3 linked regions of the Oreochromis niloticus genome follow. The protein of the gene in region 1 interacts with the protein of each later gene in a pairwise test. Links are inferred from orthologs where the notes say so. Each region holds a gene or a part of one and is shown in the gene's direction. Other genes may lie near its edges. The genes, in order: dusp12, ccnh and ppp2r3b.

The links.
Region 2: the proteins of dusp12 (region 1) and ccnh interact in binary tests that used the Homo sapiens proteins (3 or more experiments, as listed by UniProt). The two-hybrid records come from large-scale screens. The link is inferred for Oreochromis niloticus from reciprocal best matches to the Homo sapiens genes DUSP12 and CCNH.
Region 3: the proteins of dusp12 (region 1) and ppp2r3b interact in binary tests that used the Homo sapiens proteins (3 or more experiments, as listed by UniProt). The two-hybrid records come from large-scale screens. The link is inferred for Oreochromis niloticus from reciprocal best matches to the Homo sapiens genes DUSP12 and PPP2R3B.

Annotation. Positions count from the first base shown.
Region 1 is NC_031982.2:2,057,394-2,065,227, reverse strand, and holds the start of dusp12 (dual specificity protein phosphatase 12), read left to right. Parts: upstream 1-4,671; 5' UTR 4,672-4,873; intron 4,874-5,570; 5' UTR 5,571-5,572; coding exon 5,573-5,835; intron 5,836-5,975; coding exon 5,976-6,089; intron 6,090-6,236; coding exon 6,237-6,355; intron 6,356-6,479; coding exon 6,480-6,567; intron 6,568-7,629; coding exon 7,630-7,721; intron 7,722-7,834. UniProt on the Homo sapiens protein: Dual specificity phosphatase; can dephosphorylate both phosphotyrosine and phosphoserine or phosphothreonine residues. Can dephosphorylate glucokinase (in vitro).
Region 2 is NC_031977.2:16,108,184-16,115,352, forward strand, and holds the start of ccnh (cyclin-H), read left to right. Parts: upstream 1-4,019; 5' UTR 4,020-4,187; intron 4,188-4,274; 5' UTR 4,275-4,309; coding exon 4,310-4,426; intron 4,427-4,527; coding exon 4,528-4,650; intron 4,651-4,734; coding exon 4,735-4,808; intron 4,809-5,945; coding exon 5,946-6,159; intron 6,160-6,267; coding exon 6,268-6,431; intron 6,432-6,777; coding exon 6,778-6,848; intron 6,849-7,098; coding exon 7,099-7,169. UniProt on the Homo sapiens protein: Regulates CDK7, the catalytic subunit of the CDK-activating kinase (CAK) enzymatic complex. CAK activates the cyclin-associated kinases CDK1, CDK2, CDK4 and CDK6 by threonine phosphorylation.
Region 3 is NC_031987.2:23,788,192-23,796,337, forward strand, and holds the start of ppp2r3b (serine/threonine-protein phosphatase 2A regulatory subunit B'' subunit beta), read left to right. Parts: upstream 1-4,954; 5' UTR 4,955-5,142; intron 5,143-5,561; 5' UTR 5,562-5,601; coding exon 5,602-5,955; intron 5,956-8,146. UniProt on the Homo sapiens protein: The B regulatory subunit might modulate substrate selectivity and catalytic activity, and might also direct the localization of the catalytic enzyme to a particular subcellular compartment.

The DNA of each region.
Region 1 (7,834 bases):
ACCAGACCAAACACACTATTAACACGCCCACACTGCTCACAGTCACCTGCTGGCCTTTTCACTGAATATATGTGTGTATGTGTTCTGCCGTCTTCATATGGTTCATTTTGAACAGTCAATTATGTGTGATGGGGAGCCCTCTAATAAGCCCTCAAGGATGGTTGTGGTTACTTCAGGGTATTGTGATTGGCGAGATGGCCAGATTAAAGCAGCTCGTAAAACGTTATTAGCACCCCACATTGTGACCATGTACAGACTGTGGGATGCATGTTGGCGGGCAGTTCAGAGCAACACACACACACTTGTTAGGTGTAAAGAAACAAGAGTCCAGACAGACATCATGAAACATGTATTTAAAGAGCATCTGGCAGTAGAAATAACCGATTCATTCATCCAGCACATGTAATTGTCACTTATACAATATACAAGTCAGACAGTTCACTTGAGAAATGTGCCTGTTGCTGTCTGTAGCTGCCATGGGACACAACATCGTGCCTGTCCATTCACATTCACTTTGTTCAGTTTTACTGTCAGTGGTAATGACTCTGGTGGGACCGTGGGCTGCTGACCAGTGTCTGCTCACATTACCTCACCCTCCTGGTATCATCCTCTCACTGTCTTCACTTGTTCCTACTTGTTATTTCATTTTTATAGTCAGAGCCAATTACATGCTTAAGTTTATTTAGTAGTGGGAAAGGAATGTGTTCCTTTGTTTACTTAGTGTGATTAGCTCATTCCAACTTTTAACTTCAGCTTTATTAGGAACACAATGTGAAAAGCTTGTATGACAGTATCTTATGTTTTCAGATAAATTTGAGTTTTTACATTCCACAGTTATTGATCTGTTAAGCACTTTCTAAAAAAACAAGTTAATGACTTTTGGTTTGTCTAAATCAAAAGACTTCTTAATACTTAATGCTTTTCCCAGTAACACATCATTCTCGGAAAAGGAGAGCCTTTAATGACTAGTCACAAAGGGGAGTGGGTGTTATGGTTTTGAGGTTTAGTTAGTGTTTTGGTCTATAAAATTTCTATTTATTTTTTCTAGTTTTTGTGATTCCTTATTTCTCAGCTTTTGCGCTTTCCTAAAGTCTCCGGTGGTTCCATGTCTGTGACTCTGTCTGTCCATGTGCTGTTCTTATTACTGATTAGTCATTTCCTGTTTTATTTTGTTATCCAGTTTTCCTTTTGATAAAACTTGTTTGTTTTGTTCTCAGTTGCTGTCATATGCCTTATTATTTCCCCTTAGGGAAATCAAGCTTATTTAATTCCCTGAAGAAGGGATTATATGCCCTGTCTTTCAAACCACTGATTTATGGCCCCCTGTCAAAGGATTTATGACTTAGGAAGTTATAAATGCTTATGACAGTTATAATTTTTATGAATATTGTAAAATTATGATATGTCACAACTCGGTAATAATCAATACTCAAATGCCCCAAAAATGTGGACTAGGATGATGAATAGGATGTTTGAGATAGAACTGGACTATAGAATCATTCATAATGGTCTGCTGTTGTCATTTTAAGCCAAAAAGTTTACTTTTCAGACTAAAAAAGCGTTTGTAACAGTGATGATGGAGGGAGATGGAGGCTGCATGCCCCTGCATGACCCTTCTTGATTGCAAACCGAGAGATTGACAGATAAGGTCTAGGAGTAGTCCCCGATGTTTGCAGACAACATTGTGATCTATAGTGAGATTAGAGAAGAGAGATATGGAGAGAAGAGGAATGAAAGTCTGTAGAAGCAAGACACAATACAGTGGTCCCTCGTTTATCACTGTAGTTACGTTCCAAAAATAACCCGCGATAGGTGAAATCCGCGAAGTCGCTAACTTTAATTTTTACAATTATTATAGATGTTTTATGCCTGTAAAACCCCTCACTACACACTTTGTACACTTTTCTCCAACAGGCATGAACACTTTCACACTTTTCTATCTTGTTTAAACACTCTAAAAGTTCAAACCTTCGTAGAAAAATAAGTCCAGTAGGCTATTATAGAATAAAACCAAAGGCACCCACAGGTGCCTTTGATGGTGCAAAACGTTTCATCGACATTTTTGTGTTTGCTGGAGAAAACTTACAAACAAACAGTACAGCACTTCAGAGTCACACTGCTAGCGATAGAAGATTTTGATAAATTTGACAAGCTGAACGCATTCTGTACTGTACAGGAGACACGGCACGGGATTGATTGACAATGGTCTACAGCCAATCAGAACGCAGAACACAATGCGCTGTTAAAAAAAATAAATAAATGAAAAACACGGATGCAAAATTGCACAAAAAATAATCTGCGAAACTGCGAAAGGTGCACCGCGTTATAGCGAGGGATCACTGTAGATATATGTGAATAAGCAGGAGACAGGTGTAACAGTAAAGCTGCAAGGAGCAGACATATAGGAGACAAATGAGTTTACATACCTGGGGAGTAACCCATTCAATACAATAGACAGTCAAGAAGAGAGTGCAGGGCAGTGGAGTGGGTGGAGACAAGTGTCAAGGGTGACTTGTGACAGCAGCAACATTAAAAGGGAAGATTTACAACATGGTAGTGAGCAGGGCTTGACTGGGACAAAAAATCGGCCCGGGCATTTTGACTAGAGACCAGCCCACCAGGTATTATAGGAAAAGCCACAAAGCCTTTGAATGAAAACAAACGCTGTCAGTGACAGTGCCAGTGATGTACACTGTCTTGTTGGTATATATGTATGATTTCTATACATTTTACATCAGATAAAAACTTTACTTGTAAGATCCAGATAATTATTTATTAAAAGCTAGACATTTTAAATGGAATAAGAAAGAAAAGTATTTCTTCGTGCCCCCCTTTCCCTGTTAATGCCCTACCTGGCCCCCTGGCAAAACTTTGCTAGACCCGCCCCTGCACAGTTACCAGCTGTCAGCTACGTAGAAAAGGATCCTGGTGTTTGTCTCTCAGAAACACTTCATAACTTCCCTTCAACTCATTCATGTCACCTAAAAGGTAAACCTGTTTCTCCATCACCTGTTCAGCTCTGATGATTCAGTAAGGACATCTCCTGGTTTCATCTTCATGTTTCCCTCTCACCAGGATATCCAAACCGACATCAAGTAGCGGCAGGAGAGGGAGGGGGAGAGAATAAGAGAAGAAGAGGCAGCAGCGCAGCGTAAAGACACAGAATAACTCCAACTTTGTGTCTTTTTTCATTCTAGCTGAAGTACGGGACAAATCGCTTCCTTTTCAGCTCAAAACGAAACGCGGCCGGCCCGGCGGCCGCCACGGGTCTCTCCCCCTCCTTCCTCCCCTTTCCCTCATCCACCTGCTGGCCTCTGTGGAGGTTCTGCCATAGCCACCACCAAGCAGTTATTTTTACACATCTGCCAGCATCTTGTGATTCTGACAAATCGTCTGGAACCAAAACTGGAGCTGGTAGCTGAAGGTTTTCACCGGGAGTGAGCAAGATGGACAGGATCAGAAATGAGTACATCAAGGGGACAGCCCAGGTTGAGTGGTTGTGATTTCACGTGTTTTCCTATCATTTTATTTGAATGTTGTCACATATTATGCACAACATAGGCTTGTAATGTATTTTTAATTTCCCTGCTTTTAGCACAGAAAGTGCCTTCTGTGGAAGACAATGAGGACCGTGAAACAGAAATTAATCGGTCTGACATGAAGTGGAAAAAGGTTTGAGCAGAAATGAAAAATCACAGTTTGAAATGTTGCTTTTCTGTCTGTTATTGAACTCAGCAGCTGTTCTGACATCTGCAAGTCATTCAAGTAACTGGAATACAGAGCAGACAGGACACAAAATATGGTTCAAAATATGGGGGAGGGGGGGAGAGAGTTCCTAAGTGACAGAAAATATTTGCCTAGATCAAATCCCATATGTAAATACTTCAAAGTGCTTTTCCCCTTTTTTACTTAATCTGCCCAGACCCTGTGTCCTCACATAACAATTTGGCTTTTCTGCACTTTACAAAGTGATGTAAAACACAGAATGAAGTGTAAAGTGATGTTGACTTTATCTTTGTTGTAAATTAAATGCATTGTTCCCATTTGAAAAGTTATTAAAATGATGTAAGAACTATCAAACAAAGTAAGACTTCCTCTTTCAATTTAGATGATGAGGAAATGATTAAGATGTAAACATAAGGGGGTAAGGCTAAATAAGTATATACTTCTGCCTACTCCTTTTCAAACAACTGCATGGAATGATATTATGAAATGTTGGTGAATGTATATGTTTGAAATAAAAATGAACTGAACTGAAAATTAAATGTAGTTAACATACTTTTCACGTTCAGCTAATTACAAATAGCTAAGAGAAATTAAAAATTCACCCTAACCAAGAGCCAAGAGGGTCTCCAGATTATTTATTGGAATTTTTGTATTGCTCTCCGAGCGTTGTCTAGTTTATCTTCAATTAATACTTTTCTGGGGTATGATCGATAGGGGTGGGTGGGAAAAACAAGTAAAAAAAAAACCTTTATCAGTAAAATGACCCAAATTTGGTATTCGCAATTGTGTTCCTCTTGCTTTGTTTAACGTCAGAGATACTGGCTGTACATAGAGCGTATATGTAAATACGTTTTGACTATTTAATTTTCTGCCATTCTTATTATAGTTATTGAAATTATTTTGAAAGTATCGAGGTCGGAACTAACGACGCGTGTTTGTGTTGACATCTACGTTTCCGACCGAGCATTTTAAAACAGGAACCAAATGCTGATACAGAGACTACACGTTAACTTTTTGGGATTTTATTTGAGTCTGTAACGTATTTCACTGCACTCACTTTCTCTTAAATCAGTAGCTGCGTTACACACTAAAAGGCGAAGCAGGTGAGAATCAGCAAAAAGGCGAAAACGACTGCGAGAGATCGCGAGTGAGTGAACGATGTGAGGGTGTGTGGGTTGTCAGAATGAGTAGATGTTAAAGTGAAAGTTCAGATTGATATTTTGGCAACTGAACTGAACCGAACACGATCACTACTTGCGACACAGAAAACAAAAGTAGTTACTTGAAAATAATACTAATGACGGTTTCTTTGAACTAAAGCATCCTATTTTTAATCTTTTGCTGTGTCAGAGACAATATATAGAGAAACATGGCACTGAATGGTAATCAGTTGATGAATAACAGCAACGATGGTGGCAGCAGTGACTTCCAAGAGGAAAAGCTTTTAATAAAAACCGTATTTTAAGCCAAAGACAGCAAACTGTTTGATGATTCGACCCTTTTTATGTCCGGGTGACCTTTGAAATTAAAATTCAGACAGCGGTCCAAATTTGCTTCTAAGATTAAAACATAATTGTATTCTATTCCTATACTTGTATGTATGTATGTATGTATGTATGTATGTATAAAAAGTATTTTTTGTTTTTGATGCTTATTGATATTTTTATGTTCACATTTTAATCTTCTAATTTTAAATTGGTATCTAACAAATGAAATGCCAAAATGATCCAAAGGGGGAAAAAATATAAAGGTTTGATTTGAGAAATTGGGCAGTGATCAGAATGTTTAAAGCTGTAAATGTGGTCTACAAAAATGGTTATAGACATGGTTATATGTCTCTGCAGTCATGATTCTGGTGGACCCTGGGCTGTACATCGGCACTGCAGCTAACCTCAACGACCACCAGGAACTGGTCAGTGCGAACATCAGTCACATCCTGTCTGTAGATTCTGTAGACCCCAGCCCACTGTTTCCTGATGATAGAGCCTTTGTTAGGAAGTGGATTGATGTCTTAGATGAAGAGACTTCTGACCTCCTCAGTTACATGGACACCAGTTTCGGGTTCATTAAAGAGGCTGTGGATGGTGGCCGGGCTGCACTGGTTCACTGGTAAGGCAATTTTATATATCAAATTTCAATATTGTGATTAAAAAATGCTCCTTTTATTATACTCAAGCTTGTGAAAACATGAAATGTGAAATAATCGTGTTAAGTGGCAAACTGCAAACATGGTTTTGTGTGTGTTTTAGTCAGGCTGGTCGGAGTCGCAGTGCCACCATTGTTACTGCTTATCTAATGAAGAGATACAAACTGGGATTCACTGAGGCTTATCACAGACTAAAGAGCCTCAAACCAGATGTACAGTAAGTGTGTGTTTCACTTTAAAGTACTATTATTTGTATTTAATGTTTATCTTCTGCAGAGATTATATTTCTTACTCCACACATAAAATTTATATATATATTTTTTTAATTCTCCAAAGCACACTTGCTGAAATGTATGTCTTTTAGGGTCAACAGTGGTTTTGAGGAGCAGTTGTGTCTGTACGAAGCAATGCAGTGTGAGGTGGATACCTCCAGTCCTCTGTACAAACAATACAGACTAACCAAGATCACTGAAAAATACCCTGGTAACCACACACACACGTTCTGAGATTATAGTTAAACATTTGAGCTCTTCTTGTTATTTGTGTTGTGCTTTCTTGTTCTTAAATTATATGTTTCCTTTCTGTATGTGTGCATGTGTTTGAGCAGAGTTACAGAGGGTGCCTAGGGAGGTGTTTGCTGTTGACCCTGCCCACTCCAGCTCCTCTGAAGCATCCTATCGATGCAGGAAGTGCAGGTGAGAGATGGAACCTGAATGCTTCAAATTACTTGTCTTTAATAGGAAGAAGCTGATGGCACACAAAAAAAACAAAACACTTTGTTAAGTTGATGATTTTACTTCTTAGCTCAACAGTCCACAGTTTAATTTATGACTCACAGCCGATCATAGCAAACTACTTAGAGTGGTGTGAAAAAGTGTTTGCCACCTTCCTGATTTCCTTTTTTTTTTGGTTTTGTTTGTCACACTTAAATGTTTAAAGTAAGCGCAAAATGCATTTTCTAAATGAAGGTGTTTATTTTTAAGGGGAAAACTAATCCAAACGTACGGGGCCCTGTGTGAAAAAGTGACTCTCAGTCTGGAAAATTCCTACACAACTCTGTAAAAGGCGAAAACACGGAATAGGGGTTAAACTTCCCAGGAGTAGCTGGCCGACCAAAATTACCCCAAGAGCACAGCAATGGCCTATTCAAGAGATCACAAAAGACCCCAGAGGAACATTCACAGAACTGCAGGCCACATGTACCTCAGTTAAGGTCAGTGTTCATGACTCCACCATAAGTAAGAGACTGGGCAAAAATGGCCTGCGTGGCAGAGTCAAAAACCACTGCTGAGCAAAAGGAACATAAATGCTCATTTCAGTTTTGCCAGAAAACATCTTGAAGATGCCCAAGACTTTTGGGAAAATACTCTGTGGACTGACGAGACAAAACCCTTGAGTGTGGCTGAATTGCAACAATTCCACATAGATGAGTGGGCCAAAATTCTTCCACGTCGCTGTAAGAGACTCATTGCCAGTTGTCGCAAACGCTTGATTGCAGTTGTTGCTAAGGGTGGCCCAACCAGTTATTAGGGTTAGGGGGCAATCACTTTTCACACCAATGTATCCTGGTATTGTTAAAGTTTGTCTTGAAGTTTGTACATCTTGGATAGGATATGTAATTTCCTAATGTAATCTAAGGAATCCAAGGAACTGAGTGACTCTGCTTCTGAATGGAGAAAAGGGGGTATTCAGCCTGGTGTGTGTGCCAGTTTGAGCTACAGCTTCTGCAGGCAGTAACCTCCACTTTCTCCTTGCAGTCGAACTCTATTTCGTGGCTCCAGTATTCTCAGTCATTTAGTAGGAGAAGGAGCTTCGGCCTTTAGTCACAAAAAGGCCAGTAACCTTACTGGTAAGAACACATACTGTGAACATTCACTCAGTAAATTATTGACAATGTCATTTTTAATTAGTATCTGGGTATTTTTTTTTAACATTTCATTGACTTTTTTTCACCCACATGTT
Region 2 (7,169 bases), on another chromosome or scaffold:
TCTGTCCTCCTCTACATTCTCCTCAAAGCCTAAGATGCTCAGAATGATGGAGCACAATGTGTTTTTCATTCCCTGCTGATTTAAACACTGGCAGACATTTAAAAATGAGCACATGTGATTTTGTTTTCTAAATAAAGCCCTTATATCCAAACTCACTGAAGAAACAAAGAAAAGAAAAAACTGAAACATTTTCACAGTGTTTGCATTTGTCTTCAAGGTAAAGCTAAAATGGGTCATTTAATTTGCTCCAATTCTCAAAGGTGTGACTATGGAGGAAGCGGCTGCATAGGAAAGCCAAGGACAGTTGGATTTACCGTAAAGAGCATGCTAGTTGTGCTCTCCCTAGAGCTATGTCTTTGATTGAATACTGAAATGAGTTGAAATGTCACAAATCTCTACCAGTATGCTCGAAATGAAAATTGGCCTTGGGGGGGTTTTAAGCTTCCCATTAAGAGCGTGCTTAACATTCTGTTAAATGTGACTGGAGTGCATCAAAAATACAGCATAATTACGTGTCTCTGTGCACTCAAGCAAAATGTCCCTAAAAATTCCTCAATGCTGAGCAACTGCCTCTGCTAAAATGCAAGGGACCTTAAAATCGGGCCTCAACGGGAATGATGTGAGAGTGAAGCCAAAGGGCAGTAGGGTTCAAATTAAACCTGCCAATAGGAGGCCAAATTGTCATGTAACTGGCAAAAGAAAAAAAAAAAAGGAAAAGAAAAAGTGGGTGAAACCTGTTTTCCTCCAGAATTTCCAGGATTTAAATTTAAATACAAAAATAAATGATGTCAGGTTGAAACTGGAGCACCAAAACGCTTGTGTTTTAAATGTTAAACTGTCAACAGATTCCTTCGTAGCCTACATCACAACACGTCTGGTAACTTTTAAGTCAAATTAGAGTATATGATGCTTTTTACAGTGCCTTGTTTCGTTTAAAAAATTAATTAATTCTGCCTCTATATCAGCATCCCCTTCCCAGTCTGGTAATGCCCGTCTGTCTCTGAAGCAACTGATTTGATACAACCGCACTCCTTCCTATTTACCCCTGATCTCTCAGGTAGTATTTTCAGGAAACAGGAAAATGACTATCGCGCCTGCTTAGTATTCACGTCACGCAAAGTGGGTCTGTGTTCCTCATTTAGTTCTGTACAGTACAGCTGGGGAGCTGTCCAGCACGCAGCGGCAGTATGCAAATGAGGCTGGATTTGAATGGAGATGGAGGTAGACACAAAGCTCAATTAGAGACAGAGAAGAGAAAGAGGCAGTGGGGGAGCGCTGAGTGTCTGAAGGGGAGGAGGGGGGGGGACCTTTGACTGCTTAATGCCAACCTGAGAAAACCAGTGTACGGACACATTCAAACACAAAGGGACACACAGATGTGAATGCGCTTAAATAGCCAGACAGATTTCTAAATTCTTCAGACAGGCAGCCGATCTCTGAGGGGCTCAGACAGCTCAGCTCTGTGATGCCTTTCGCTCACACCAATCACACAGAGAATATCCCACATCATCCATATCACACATTTCAAAACAAAAAGAGAGCGAGAGAGAGGGGGGGGGAAGCACAGGTGCACTCCTCGCTTTTGTTTAAGCTCAAAGAGAGAGTCTCACATGTGGTTAAGAAAAAAAGAAGAAAAAGAAAAGAAAACTGAGGCGGTGGTGGGGGGAGTGGCCGCCATTTTGTTCCTGGATGCCCAGCAGCGTTGCATATCACCTGACCCAATGCCTGCATGACTGTCCTTGGAGGAGTTTCTGACATCAGCACTGCCACTTATGGTTGCCATAGCAACCTGGGTACCAATTTGGATGGGGTGGGGTGGGGGTGTCGTTGGATGCTGCAGGATGGAGAGTAGAAAATTAATATGCACATGCGGCGAGTCGGAATCGGGATTTAATTGTTGGCGTGTGAAGCTGAAATGGATTGAAAGCTGCAGCAAACACGAGGAATATCAGGGCAAGGGCGGGCAAAAAAATGGATTAGGCAGGCTCATTCTGGTAAATCATCTGCATCATTGTCAAGGTTATATCCAGATTATTTCCTCTCGTGCTAGAAAGTAACTTCATAGATGAGATGAGGAAGGTGGGCCACGGGGTGGGGATTATCCTCCTCCAGCTTCTCCTCGCCTCCCTCCTCAGCATTATCACCGCCATGAATAGTTTACAAAGCTGCGTACAGGCGAGGTGATGGTTCACACAGCATCGGCGGCTGAATTTTAGCTGACTTTGTGTCCGTGAATTGCAATTATTTCAGCACGCCTGAAAAGGTTTTCATATGCGGCTGAAATATAACAGGCAGGAGTGTGGGCTCGACTCTGGGAGGATGAGTCTAACTCGATCAGGGAGGCTCAAAGATCATTCAGTTGATCTGGCAATGCCACAAAATCACCCAAGTTTGATTTCCCATAAAACACTGCCTGTCAGATTGCATAGGAGCAACCTTTACTCACAGGGACACACACACACACACACACACCTGACCTAAAACTGTGCCGTCTCTCCCTTCAAATCACCCATCACATGAACATACACACTCACGGGGAGGCAGATTTCACTTGCTGCCTCACCATCAAGCCAGCATTTCTTTTGTAAATAGTGAAGGCACAGGATGAAGTGATGAAGTCTCAAAACAGAAAAAAAAAACCCCTACACATACATATATAAATGACAAATTAAACACAAGAAATGTAAAAACAACAACAACAACAACAACAACAACAAACAAACAAAAACCTTCAAGATAGCCCAACACAACACAGAAAGACAAAAATAAGTCATCACACTGCAGAATTATGCGAAATAGCAGAGGGAGAGGTGTTAGGCTGACAACACAAGCGTGCATGCACAGTCAGCCCCGCGCACGCACACATATGCGCACATACAGTAAACGTTGCAATGGTCTCATCAATAATGCATCGGCACTTCATGTTTATGCAATTTACAGGGCAAGACCGAGCGATGGCTAGTGTAGAAGCCCGGCGTAGCCTTGTGCACAAGCCTATCACAGACAGAGCTCAGACGCGAGCGTTCACACGGAAAGCGCCTGTAGAGAAAAAGGTTAAGATTATATAAAATAGTCCCGAGTGCGCACATACCTGTTAAAGCGTCATTTCTTTGAGCCTGGTTTTATGCAGGCTCGAAGGGCTTCATGATAACGCCGCACTAAGGAAATAAAACTGTAGCTGTGGTGATATGCAAATTAACGGCTCCCGCTGAATGCAAGGGCATTTATTATTCATAAATTACTCATGTTTATGCAAATGAGGGCGTGCGGAAACACGGGTGGGGGGTTGAGTGGCTCTGTCTAAACATACCGTGTGATTTCGTTTCTGTTGCGCATTTCTGCCCCCCACCCCCCACTAAAAGATTATCCAAATCCTTGATTTTAACTAACATATAGTCACAAACCAGCTTTAGCAGTGTGAACTTTATGTAGTCCTGGCTCATTTAAAGAAGAAGGGGGAAAGGGGGGGGGAGGGGGGCTGCTGTTAATGCGGGCCTTTATTCAAGGTTTACATGCTTATTTATTCTGGGTTATTTAGCGTGTGCTAACCCGAGTGTAGAGGACGCATAAGGTCAGACACCTCTTTCAATGCTACAGACTGTCAAAAGTGGCAGCTATATCACACGTGACCACGCAAAGGTGGGATATCACCTGAAGAAGTCTCTTGGGTGAGAGGTGAAACGTCTTCACGGCGCTTCAGTCGTTTTCTTTCCAACCTCCTGTTTTTTGGGGGGCGTTTTCAGTGTTTGCTTATCTGTGTGTGCGTCTGTGTGTTTACTTGTGTCAAAATTGGGGACTTATATCAGCTGACACACCCGTTCATTGGGGACGCTTTTGCCTCTGGGGACCAAAACTACCCCAATTAGATATAAATTGAAGCCATTCAGCGCATTTCAAGCAGCATTTCCGTCTAAAACTACCAAAAACGTCGCTAAATACGACTTATTTCAGATGGTGTGTGTGTGTGTATATGTGTATGTGTGTTTGTGTGCGTCATCAATAACCGACGAGGTCGACGTAATCCAATGGCGACGCGCGTGGGATTTGTTATTGCTGGAGTCCGCTTGATAAGACGTTAGTTTTGAACTGTCTTGAGGCATTAAACGCGCTCATTTGTACATAGAAAAATTATTTTCGCACAGCATCGGTGTCGCGGATGGATTGACCTTTAAATACACTCAACAACTGTAAGTTATTTTATTTTATTTCAGATGTATCAAAGTTTGGACGGCAGGCTAACGTTGACGTTTTTTTCGGTGTGTCCCCGTTATCAGGCAGGTTTGTTGCGGTGTTCCCCACAGCAGGCGACATGTTTCACAACAGCTCCCAGAAGAAATACTGGATTTTTAAAAGTGAAGATGAAATCGAGCATATGAGGTGCAAGGCCAATCAGAAATTCCGCAACAAGGCGCTAGAAAGTAGGAAGGTAAGCTGCGATTAAACATGTCATTAAGCACATTTGAACCAAAGATGTAGTCCATGAACGTCTGTGTGACAGTTACCTTCACTCCCTCCTCTTTGAACAAGCCCGGGGGGAGTGAGTCCATGTTCTTGCAGCGTCATGAGGAAGACGTCCTATTTCGGCACTATGAGAGGAGGCTGCTGGAATTCTGCAATGCTTTTAAGCCCACAATGCCAAAGTCTGTGGTGGTATGTATGTATGTGGTTTCTTTGAACAGAGCCATGTGACCTCGCGGACATCCGTGAACCACGTGTCTTTCTCTCGTTTTGCAGGGTACAGCCGTCATGTACTTCAGGAGATTCTACCTGAGCAACTCCGTCATGGAGTACCACCCCAGGATTATCATGTAAGTGCTGCTGGTCGGTGAAAGGAAAACCAACAGTATTGTTGGGGGTGGGCAAAAAACGCGGGGTCCACTGAGGGATACAGACAAGTGACACATTAAAGGAAATGTATGTTAAGGAAAGTTTCTGATAGGTTTGGCAGTTTCCCTCTAAGAATTTGTTGACATATGTGAGTCCTTATATTGAGGTTTAGTTTTTTTTTCTTTCTCTAATAAATTCAAACAGTGAGGTGAAAAAAAGTAGTTGACAGTAGTAAAAGAGACTCAACAGTGCTGAGCAGGCCAATTACAACAGTTGCATGCTGAGTCAATACGATGTGTAGCTTTGCAGATGTGGACATCAGGTTACTGCATAGGTTACGTTGTAGGGTTTTAGAGGGGTTTGTGGCTACGAGGTGACATCCTTACAGTGAAGATTGTACACAGAAGCATACATCTCTTGGTGTGTTTTAGAAATTCACAGTTTGTTAAACTCACAGGCAAACTTTGAACTGTTTTATTAAAATGATCAAAGTGATGTGACGGTTGTAGTGTAACTCAGTTTGCGTTGTGGTGGTCTCTTAATGTGACTTTAGATGCGTTGAAAGCCTCAATTCAAGAGTCAAAGTTGATCTTCAGCGGAGAGAGATGATGTGGGCAGATGTCAGAATGAGAAACGCCTAAGAGTATGTGGCGGCAAAGCATCTCAGGTGTTCAGTCTGTGCTCAGTGTTAACGGGGTGACCCACGTGATCATCACCCACTGTCACATTATTAAGTCACAGAGACTAAGTGCAGACAGATTCTCTGAACACTGTGGTTCTTTTTCTTTGACATCACAATTTTACCCGAACTCATAATGAATTCAATTGTTGTTGTTTTTTTGGGTGTTTTTTTTTCTTCGATCTTAACCGAAGTTGTTCTCAGTGATCTCCTACTTCCTGCTATGACACTTTCCTCCTAATGGGAATGTTTCCTTCCAAGATAAAAGTGCAGCATCCATAGGGCATAGGGGGAGGGTCACTGTATGATTTGCTGTGTATAAAAATGCTTTATTTAACTAACAGTAAAACCGCTTAACCTTCATGCCGTGTTGAATAATGAGTTAATTGTAGCATTCAGGGTTTTTTTCAGCGTTGTTCTAAGCAACCTGTTGTTTCAGGCTGACGTGTACATACCTGGCCTGCAAAGTAGATGAATTCAATGTGTCCAGCACCCAGTTTGTGGGCAATCTTGTACAGGAGACCCCAGCAGGACAAGAAAGGATTCTGGAGCAGATCCTGGAGTATGAGCTGCTGCTAATCCAGCAGCTCAACTTTCATTTGGTGGTCCACAACCCCTACAGACCCATGGAGGGTCTGCTCATCGACCTCAAGGTGGGTGTGGTCCTATGACTGCTTCACACTATAAACACGAAGACGGAAACTACTGCTGCCCTAATCTCGCTTACTTAAGTTTTCATTCGAACTTGTCGCTTTTTCCAGACCCGGTACCCTACACTGGAAAGCCCAGAGTCACTGAGGAAGACTGCTGATGACTTTCTGACACAGGCAGCCATGACAGATGCAGGACTACTTTTTTCTCCCTCCCAGATCGCTCTGACAGCTATTCTGAACAGCGCCTCGAGAGCCGGTCTTAACATGGAGAGGTAGTACACAAAGTTCTTAAATCAGTAACCAGGTGACAGTGGTCAGTTTGAATTTCAGACACGGATTTGAAATATTATGTCTGTTAATTATAAATCTAATCTTCCTCGCTGTTTAAAAAAAGAAAAGAAAAAAAAGTTAGCTAATGTTTAGAATTTAAAATTTCATCATAAAGTCCAGAGTGACGACTGGCTGGCTTATTTAATTTATATGTACAGTAAATACATTACAAAAGCAAAGATTGAATCAGGGAAAAAAAACGTAAAAAATGTAATTTCTCTGAAGAAGTTTGTCTCTGTGTATGTTAATCAAAACCAATCCCTTCTATGTATTATTTCTCATGCCCAGTTACCTGAACGAGTGCTTAGGACTGAAAGAGGACAAGGAGACGCTGTCAAGGATGTACGACTCCATGAGACGTGAGTAAACCGCACCTTCAAGTTGACACCACAAGATGGTGATATTGAGCTGTTTTAGCTTCTCCAGAGCAAGTTTTTTTTTTTCTTGCGGTTTTGTCCGATTGACTGCAAGATACAGAAACTATTACTATTATAAGGAAGAGCTGAATACATTTTAAATGCCAATCCAACTCACGTGCCTTAAAGCTACAAAACAGGGCATTGGCCTTGGTGAAGGCACTTTCAAACTTGTTGCTTTCTGTTTATTCAGGAATGAAAACCCTCCTGAAGAAATATGAGCCTCCTAAACTAGAGGAGGTGAATATTTCCAAACAGAGGCTG
Region 3 (8,146 bases), on another chromosome or scaffold:
GAGTGAATTGTTTGTGTATGTATCTGTGTCTGCTTAGAAAGCAAGTGAGAGGAGTACAGCCCTGACACATCCCAAGTGAAGTGCACCCTCTACAGGCAACTGTTACACATTTTACATCCTTGTATAGCATCTGCAGAACTAGACTGAAGAAAATGTGCAGATTTTGCAAAGTATTTCACTGCAAGCTCACCTGAGAAACAACATACAGTATACCGAGTTGCATTTACACACTATATATGACTCCATTAAATATATATATCTATATATCTGTCGACTCTCTTTGGTATGCTCAAAACCAGGTTTTCCTTCTTAAGCTTTCCAACTCCATACATGCACCTCTTTCATTAATATGTGATGAGAGAGAAAATCTCCAAAGACCCCAATAGGCAGATGCATTGTTTCTCTTTTAAAGTCATCTCAGATGGAAGGAGTGAACTTCAGAGCCTCAGTGAAGTGTCTAATGAAAGAAGTCTCCTCCTCCGCGGCTCCATTTCGCACAGCATATTAGGAATCTAAATGTTGACTGAAGACAGTTTGATTCTGCGTCTGTGATTTTCTTAAGGAATAAAAACAGCGTTGCGTGTTTACAGTGTAGCCATGAAAGAGCTACGAGAAGGCTCATCACTACCCGATGCCATTTTGGGAGGCGGAACGTGAGGTTCATACCACAGTTCATTTGAAAGCCATATCAAACAGAGGATTGTTTAAGACCAAGATCAAAGCCATTTCTGCTCAAAAAATATCACTAGACTATAGAAACATTCTTGTAAAATTCCTGCTTTATGCTAACAATTATTTCAGCAGTGTCTGGAAATAAAACAAACACAATGGGCAGAGGCAAATAAAAATGACATTTCAGGACTGTAGTGGTAACTCGTGTACCTTGTTTTGTATTACATGCCACAGGAATCTGAGAGTTTAAATCACCCTGTCAGCCAGAGTTTCATCACTTGCTGTGCAACAACAACAGCAAAAGAATAAAAATCCTTAAAAATAATCTAATAAAGGCTAGTGAGGATGGGAGCAACTTTCTGATTATATTAATGCACTTCAGTATAGAAACTTTGTGCTTAAAATATTTCCAGCTAAGTGGGTTCCTGAGTCATTCCTGCATTTAAACAGTTGCAACAACAGGCACTGTGTTTAATTAATGATTAACCTCCTAAGACCCGAACTCTTTCATGGCATGCATTTTCAGTTTCTCTTTGCTATTTGGGCTGATTGGGACCTGATAAATGTAAAAACAAACAATTACCTGTTTTTTTTGTTGTTGTTGTTGTTGTTTTACCTGATTTTTGTTTCTGAGAAAAATTTGATCCACATATGAGGGCATTCATTTTAAATTTCGATAGAACAGTGGCAGCATAACATCCTCGTAAGTGGATATCAGGCCCTTGTAGAGCAAAATTTAGAATTGTGGTCTAGACAGCCCAAAATGTGATGTCCACATATGTGGACGCCAGGTTCTAGGAGGTTAAACATGTCAATACTACTCCTACACTAAATGATTTTCATTCATTATAGTCCACCTTATAATTTATATATACAATTATTTGGACTTTTAATAAGACCTCTAACATTAAAAAATGTAAATCTACTCTTCTACAGTGTTAAAAGTCCCATTGACAGGCATAGAGGCTGAAATGTGTTTTCCCAGTGCTAACACTGGCTCTTGGTTCAGTAGGATTGTATTTTTTTAACTAAAGCAAGTACACTCATGTTTTATACGGAGCACAGATAAAAGAACGAGATGCCTGGAGAAGATAAAACCATATATGTTGCTCTAAATGTGGAGTTATTGAAAAGAAGCAGCGTCTGTATCAGCATTACTTTTTACGCATCTACTGCTTACTTTTACTCCTGGTACTCCAAGCTTAAAATCATTTCTTATGCAGTTTGCTGTTTTCTGCAGCACACATTTGACAATGTATGTTGAAGCAAAGTCTGCTCGTGTGTCGCTGAGGAGGAGAACAGTGCCACGATGAGTTATTTTAATACTTAAAACAACATACGCATAAATTGCAGCTGAACAAATAGTTTAACAACATAATGAAATACAATTTTTAAGAAAGCACTTTCTACTAGTTTCTGTTGTGTTTGCAAAATGATTGGGGAATAATATCACCGTAACTTAACAGTAACTGCATATTATTTACATTTCACAATCAAAATCTTTTCAACTCGCTGTTGTCATGTACTTATTTAGTTGTTATATATTCAAAGTCATAAAACAGAAAAGAAAATATTAAATTGCTATTCCACATATCTTCTGGGAAATCAGTTAAAACTATTTGGGTCATTTTGTCAAATTTCAAGCAGATGGAGAAGTCATTTGTTTGTCTGATTGGGCCTTGTTCTTATCTCTGCCTTGTACAAAAATGTACCAAATGAGCTGGTTTAAAACAAATGTGCAACAGAGGTTAAGACCACTTAGAAGCAATTGAGACAAAGGTGGCAACGTTGCTCACAAATTTGTCACTGTCTTGACTTTGCGTTGTAAACGTCCCTACTGAATGAAAGCCAAAGTCAAAGGTGAAGATGTTTGGATTGGTATCAGATCCTGTAAGATGTTCAAGAACAACTAGCTTGAGAGAACTATCAGATTTTCTTTGAGTGTAAGTAAAAGCACTGTAGACCATCCGTCTACAGTATGTTTTAAAGCCATTTTTACACTTTTACACAACAAAAGTTATCCGTACATTACTTATTAAAGACTGCTCTCCTTCTATGTAAGTAATTTATGTGAAACTTCAGCCACAAAAAAATCTCACATCGCAATCTGGATCTTTTAAATGAAGAGAAAAGAGTAGCTAAACTTACCAATGTCAAACAAACTTAAACCTTAAAATAACCATGGCCCATTGCCTTTTCTAGCATGTGAGTACGGTATGGTCCAAATATTTCTCTACAGCACATAACCACAACACAACACTTTTAACTTTATTCACTCCCCTTATTAGAGCAGATTGCTTATCGTCTACTTCACAGAGCGCCCATATAGCATAGCTGACAGCAGTAAGGGCGAGCTGCACACATAAACCCCTCACTAACACTTTCCTACGCTAACCAGCTGTCCCCCTGTGGTTTCAGACTCGGCCAAACCTTTGAAATGTCCTTCAAGGCGTGAAAAAACAACATGCACACTGCTTTGGGTAAAATCCTATTTGTACACTATAATTACACTTTGAAAAGTTGCAAAGTCTAAAGTTTCAAGACCTTCACTTTTTCTCTTCTCATTTCGGATATTGATTGGGCTCTAAAACACATGTAAGGCTCGCTGCTCTACAGAACAAAGAGGTTTCTCATTACGTGCCGCGCCTCAGACAACTTTGGATGTTTCAGATTTGATTTACTCGCGTTATCAAGGGAAGCAATCAGAGGAATTCAGTCGATATTTTTCACAACTGCGGAACCGCCGTTAATGCCCTCTTAACAACAAAGCTACAGGCACTTTGAATGTTCTTATTAACGAGATAGAGGTTTGGAGTGATAGGTGTCCCCAATGTCTTTCATGCCAAAAAGAAAGAGAAACATCAGTAAAGCCCGTCAGCATACCACTGCGGTATGGGCTCCATCAAAAAGTAACTTTTTAAAAATTCAAAATCACCTTCGAAAATACATCCGTCATGTCAGAAGTCATAAAGCTCCAGTAAAGTAAATTAAAGTCATTAGAAACAAATAATTACACACAGTGCAAATGCCAAAAAACTGGTGTTTAGAAAAAATGTTTACAGGCATAATCAGTCAATGCCAAAAGAGAAAGATTAGTCCAGACAAAATTTGTTCTGTTGGCTGCATAATAAACATAATTACCCAGCAACATTGTATTCACAGAAACAAACAATAACCAACATGTTAGTTTTGGCTGCAGTGCTTGTGTAAATGAGAAGAATTCCACGTGAAATTGGTGTGCCATTAGTACCGACCCTGTGATCATGAAATCAGTTTTACTAATGTAGACAAGACTCAAGTACAAAAACACCAAACCATTAAATCAGTGGTTGAAGCCTGGGTCTTAGGTCTGTTATAAAGCATGCCTTTCTGATGAAAAAACATAATAATACTCCACTGTGTTTTCTTTTATTGCAGGTGTCATATATGGTATCAATAATCTAAAATGACCTTTTCCTGTGTTGCTTGTTTTCTATGCTTGGGGATGCAATGAGGGAGCCACGATGTCTGGGGCCACTCCCCCGCACATTAATCAATAAGTATGTCCAGCTCCATATACAGCAGGTGCTCAGTCCAGCTGCTTTGAGAAGACAGAGTGGAATTGGACACATATGCATCATTGTTATTCATGCACAGAGTCAGAATCAGGTTTGTACGATGCTGAACTGGATAGACAGGACTAGTTTCATGGAAATGAGTAGTGCACTGATGAACAGCTCTCGCCGGACATCATACAAACCGACCATACATTATCAAAGGGAATGCAGATGTACAGGTTAAATGAGAAAAAGACTGAATGAACGCCTGTATTAAATTAGTGTCTCAAGATGCACACGGCAATAATAGCAACCTCATACAATTTACACTAATCCACAATATATCGTAAACTTACTATATATTATATTACATGTTTATATATTTTTTACAACTATAATACTTAACAGTCATAAAAATGAATTTATTAAACTTAGGAGATGAAATCATTGGACAACAGGTACGTTATTAAGTCCAAGTCGACGGGCTACGTTTAAAACTGTATAATGTTTATACTTACTGAGACAGACTTGGCAGTAAGGCTTTTGTAGTTACTTATAACTGAGAATACTGCAGTGTTACAATAGGCTTATGTTATTAAGCTAACGGTGGAAAAAGAACCATTAAATGAGAAATACGTCCGCACTTTTAATTTTAACAGGTGTGCGTCAGCACAAGCGCTTACTGATCCCGCGGGAGAAACCGCTGCCACAGCGTGGACGATCTCGCGATAACGCTGTGTGGTTACCAGGGGAACGAGAGCCTGAAAAGTTGTTCCTGTCTGCTGTGTTTTCTCCCAGAGAAATGAATTTCACCGGATTTTCGGTGCTGCTTTTATGTTTCACTGTTAGCCGAACGTACGCTGAGCATCATCGCTTATGAAGGAAATGTAGAGTCATATTAACGTGTTTTGCTTTGCTGTCCATTCACGGCAAGGTGGGTGCATTTATTGGCTAGTTGGCGCTAGCTGCTAAAGCTATAGTAGCTAAACCTGTTGTAGTCCCCTATCGTCCATAGTAGTATAGGTTTAATTGACGGAAGCTTTTGAAATGTTTACTTTATGCAGCCGTTTTTGCCATGTGGTGGATTAAAATTGGCTTAAAATATTATTGAAGTAATATGGGTTCCGCACTTTCGCCTATGGGCTAAAGCATTGACGCTTCGCGCTAAAATTCAATAACGTGAGTGAGTGTTGGTTTGTACTCAAAGCAAGGGCTACTGCTCGTGTCATTTTTTTTTTTTGCTCAGTGACCTACTCAGCGCCGCTGCTCTGACAGTTTCGTGTCATCTATGGACCTTGTGTGGGAGGCAGATATTGGTGGTGTGAGGTTAAAGATGCTTTTATTTCTACGCAGGTACGGTCATCAGAGGAAGCTTTAGACATCATTGCCCAAAATGCCGTCACCACAAGTTCTCCAGCCGGTTCTTAAAATGAAAGTAGACGAGCTTTTTCTCAACTGGTTGAGTGATCCTACAACTCAGTCAATACTCAAAGATTATCTTGATCTAATCAAAAGTGGACAGCCTGTTGAATTGAGTATTGGGGACGCTCAAGATAAAAGGTCGTTAAGCTTCAATGAAAACAACAATGTGGCATCACAGAAGAACCTGGCAGAGAAGAAGCCTGCTCCCTTAAGTACACCTTTCAGCACCCCATCTACCAGTACCCTGCCTTCCCGAAGTAGCAGTAACACCAGAATGACTGGACCAAGTGGAAGAGTACTACGGAGATCTCTCAGCACAAAGAAGGTAAACTGTGTATTCAAACAATAACTCCAATAAATATTTTCCATGTTTTTTGATAAGCATGTAACTCATTGTTGAAAAATGTAGCCAAAAAGTCTTAAGGTGCCGCAGGGAAAAAATCCACACACATACTAAGATCCACTAAACAAGGAGTTCTGCTGTTAGTCAGCTGTTAGTCAGTTTTTGTTTTTTTAATCCTAAAGGTGTTACACTACAGAGCTTTTGATTTACTACTATGAAAAATAAGGTGTGCCACCCTGTTCTTTTTCTTCCTGAAACCACCTGAGGTACTTGAGGGTGTGTTGGACAATGATTTGAATATTTTAAACTCTTTGCATACCGATAGTAAACATGTACTTAAAAGTCGAAAGGGGAACCTCTCTTTGCTTTCTGGTAAGCCAACTATAAAAGCAGTCCTGGCTTGGCATTTTTTTACACAACAGCTTATCAGTCTGGTAAGTTTATCTTTATAGTTTTAGTGCACTTATTTGTATGTTTAACTGGCAGTTTATCTGCATATCTTTTTGGTATTGTGCAATCCATACAGTAACCTGAAATTAAATCCATATTTGCACATTTAAACCAGGGTTTTCCTGGCACAGAATGGGCCTTTTGGTGGGGCAGCAGCAAAGCGAGTATGATGTGGAACAGGAAATGCAATCACTATGTGGTACCTTATTTGATAGAAAACTATGGGTTTTCTTGTTATTTCTGACCATTTTAGGATCAAATAATGTTTATCGGCCTCATTAAACTCTAATTAATGAAACTAGCTGAAATCATAAACTGGTGGTTTTCCAGTCAGTAATGACCATAACAACTGCTATGTTAATGTGAGTTAAATGAATGACGGACAAATTTAATGTACTTGCAAAAAGGACATGTCTGAGCTTGAAATTCTGGGTCAGTGTTAAAAATGACAATTTAGCCAAAAGTGGTAGAGTTGTAGGGCCTTTTTTGTTGTTGTTGTTATTGTTTAGTTTTCCTTTTTGGAACAAGGAAACAAGGAGAAAAAAAAGAAACTTCCCTCTTCATCACACTATATTAAACAAGATCTAAAACAACTTTTAACCAGGGCAAAACTGATGCAACACACTAGATAAACATTGGCTTCTGCCACTGATAATTTACTTTAGCATCAAAATATCTCATGTGAAAAAATCGTAAACATTAATGTTATCCTCCTTCTAGTTACATTTTTGCAATCTAGAAAAAATTCAGTTTTAGCCAAAAGTTGAGCTTTGTCATACAAAGCATACATGTCCAGTTTAATGGTACATCTAAATGGACATAGTGTGCATTTGGCTTATATTTGCTTAGCATCTGTCTTTGCAAAGATTTTTTGTAATTCTTTTATTAAATTCTGTATTAAACTGATTTAAATGTCAAGTTTGCCTCACTTGTACGTTCTGAGATCTCTGTTTGCTCTGACTGGCCACAAGAGGATGCTGAGTGGCCTACAGCATCAAAGACATTCAGAGGCTGTCCACTCTGCCCTGTCACAGTGGAGCCTTCTTGTCTGTAGGCGTATGTAGTGATTATTAGTCAAATACTTTCCAAATGTTCAGGCCTCACCCACGAATTAGTGTGGTATGAGAAGTGGGAGTGTCTGAACCTAGCCTGTCCCTGGCGCTCTGGTTACATCTTTCAGTCTGTGCGCTGTACTTCTTACTGTGCTGGGGCCAAGGTGTTTTACTTTGGATTGTTTAGATTATGGCCTAAAAAGAATCTACACAAAATAGTTAGCTGCCCGTAAATATTTTGTATATCTGCTCAAGGACTCATAATCTGTTAGGATGAGAAGTGCAACGTGAAAGCCTAGAGTAGTGATAGATTATGGACATTAGTGCATGTGATGACAGTGAGACAGCCTGAGACAGCTGGAGGCATACGCTACTCAGGACCCCACCTTCTACATGTTAGTGACATGCTAAAGAGGTGCATGAGGAGATCTTCAAGTACACATGTAAAACAACAGAGCAGGAGAATGAGATCTAATGTTTGTTTCAACTTACATGTTTATATATTAGAAACATGACTAGCAGTACCAGTAGTAGCAGTAGAAGTAGTATGTTATAAAATAAATAATTATGCTTATCTATGGTCTTACAACTTACTACGTAGCCTTATAGGCTCAGACAAACAACGTATTTCAATTGAGGACAATAAAATGAAATTAACTAATTAAACATCC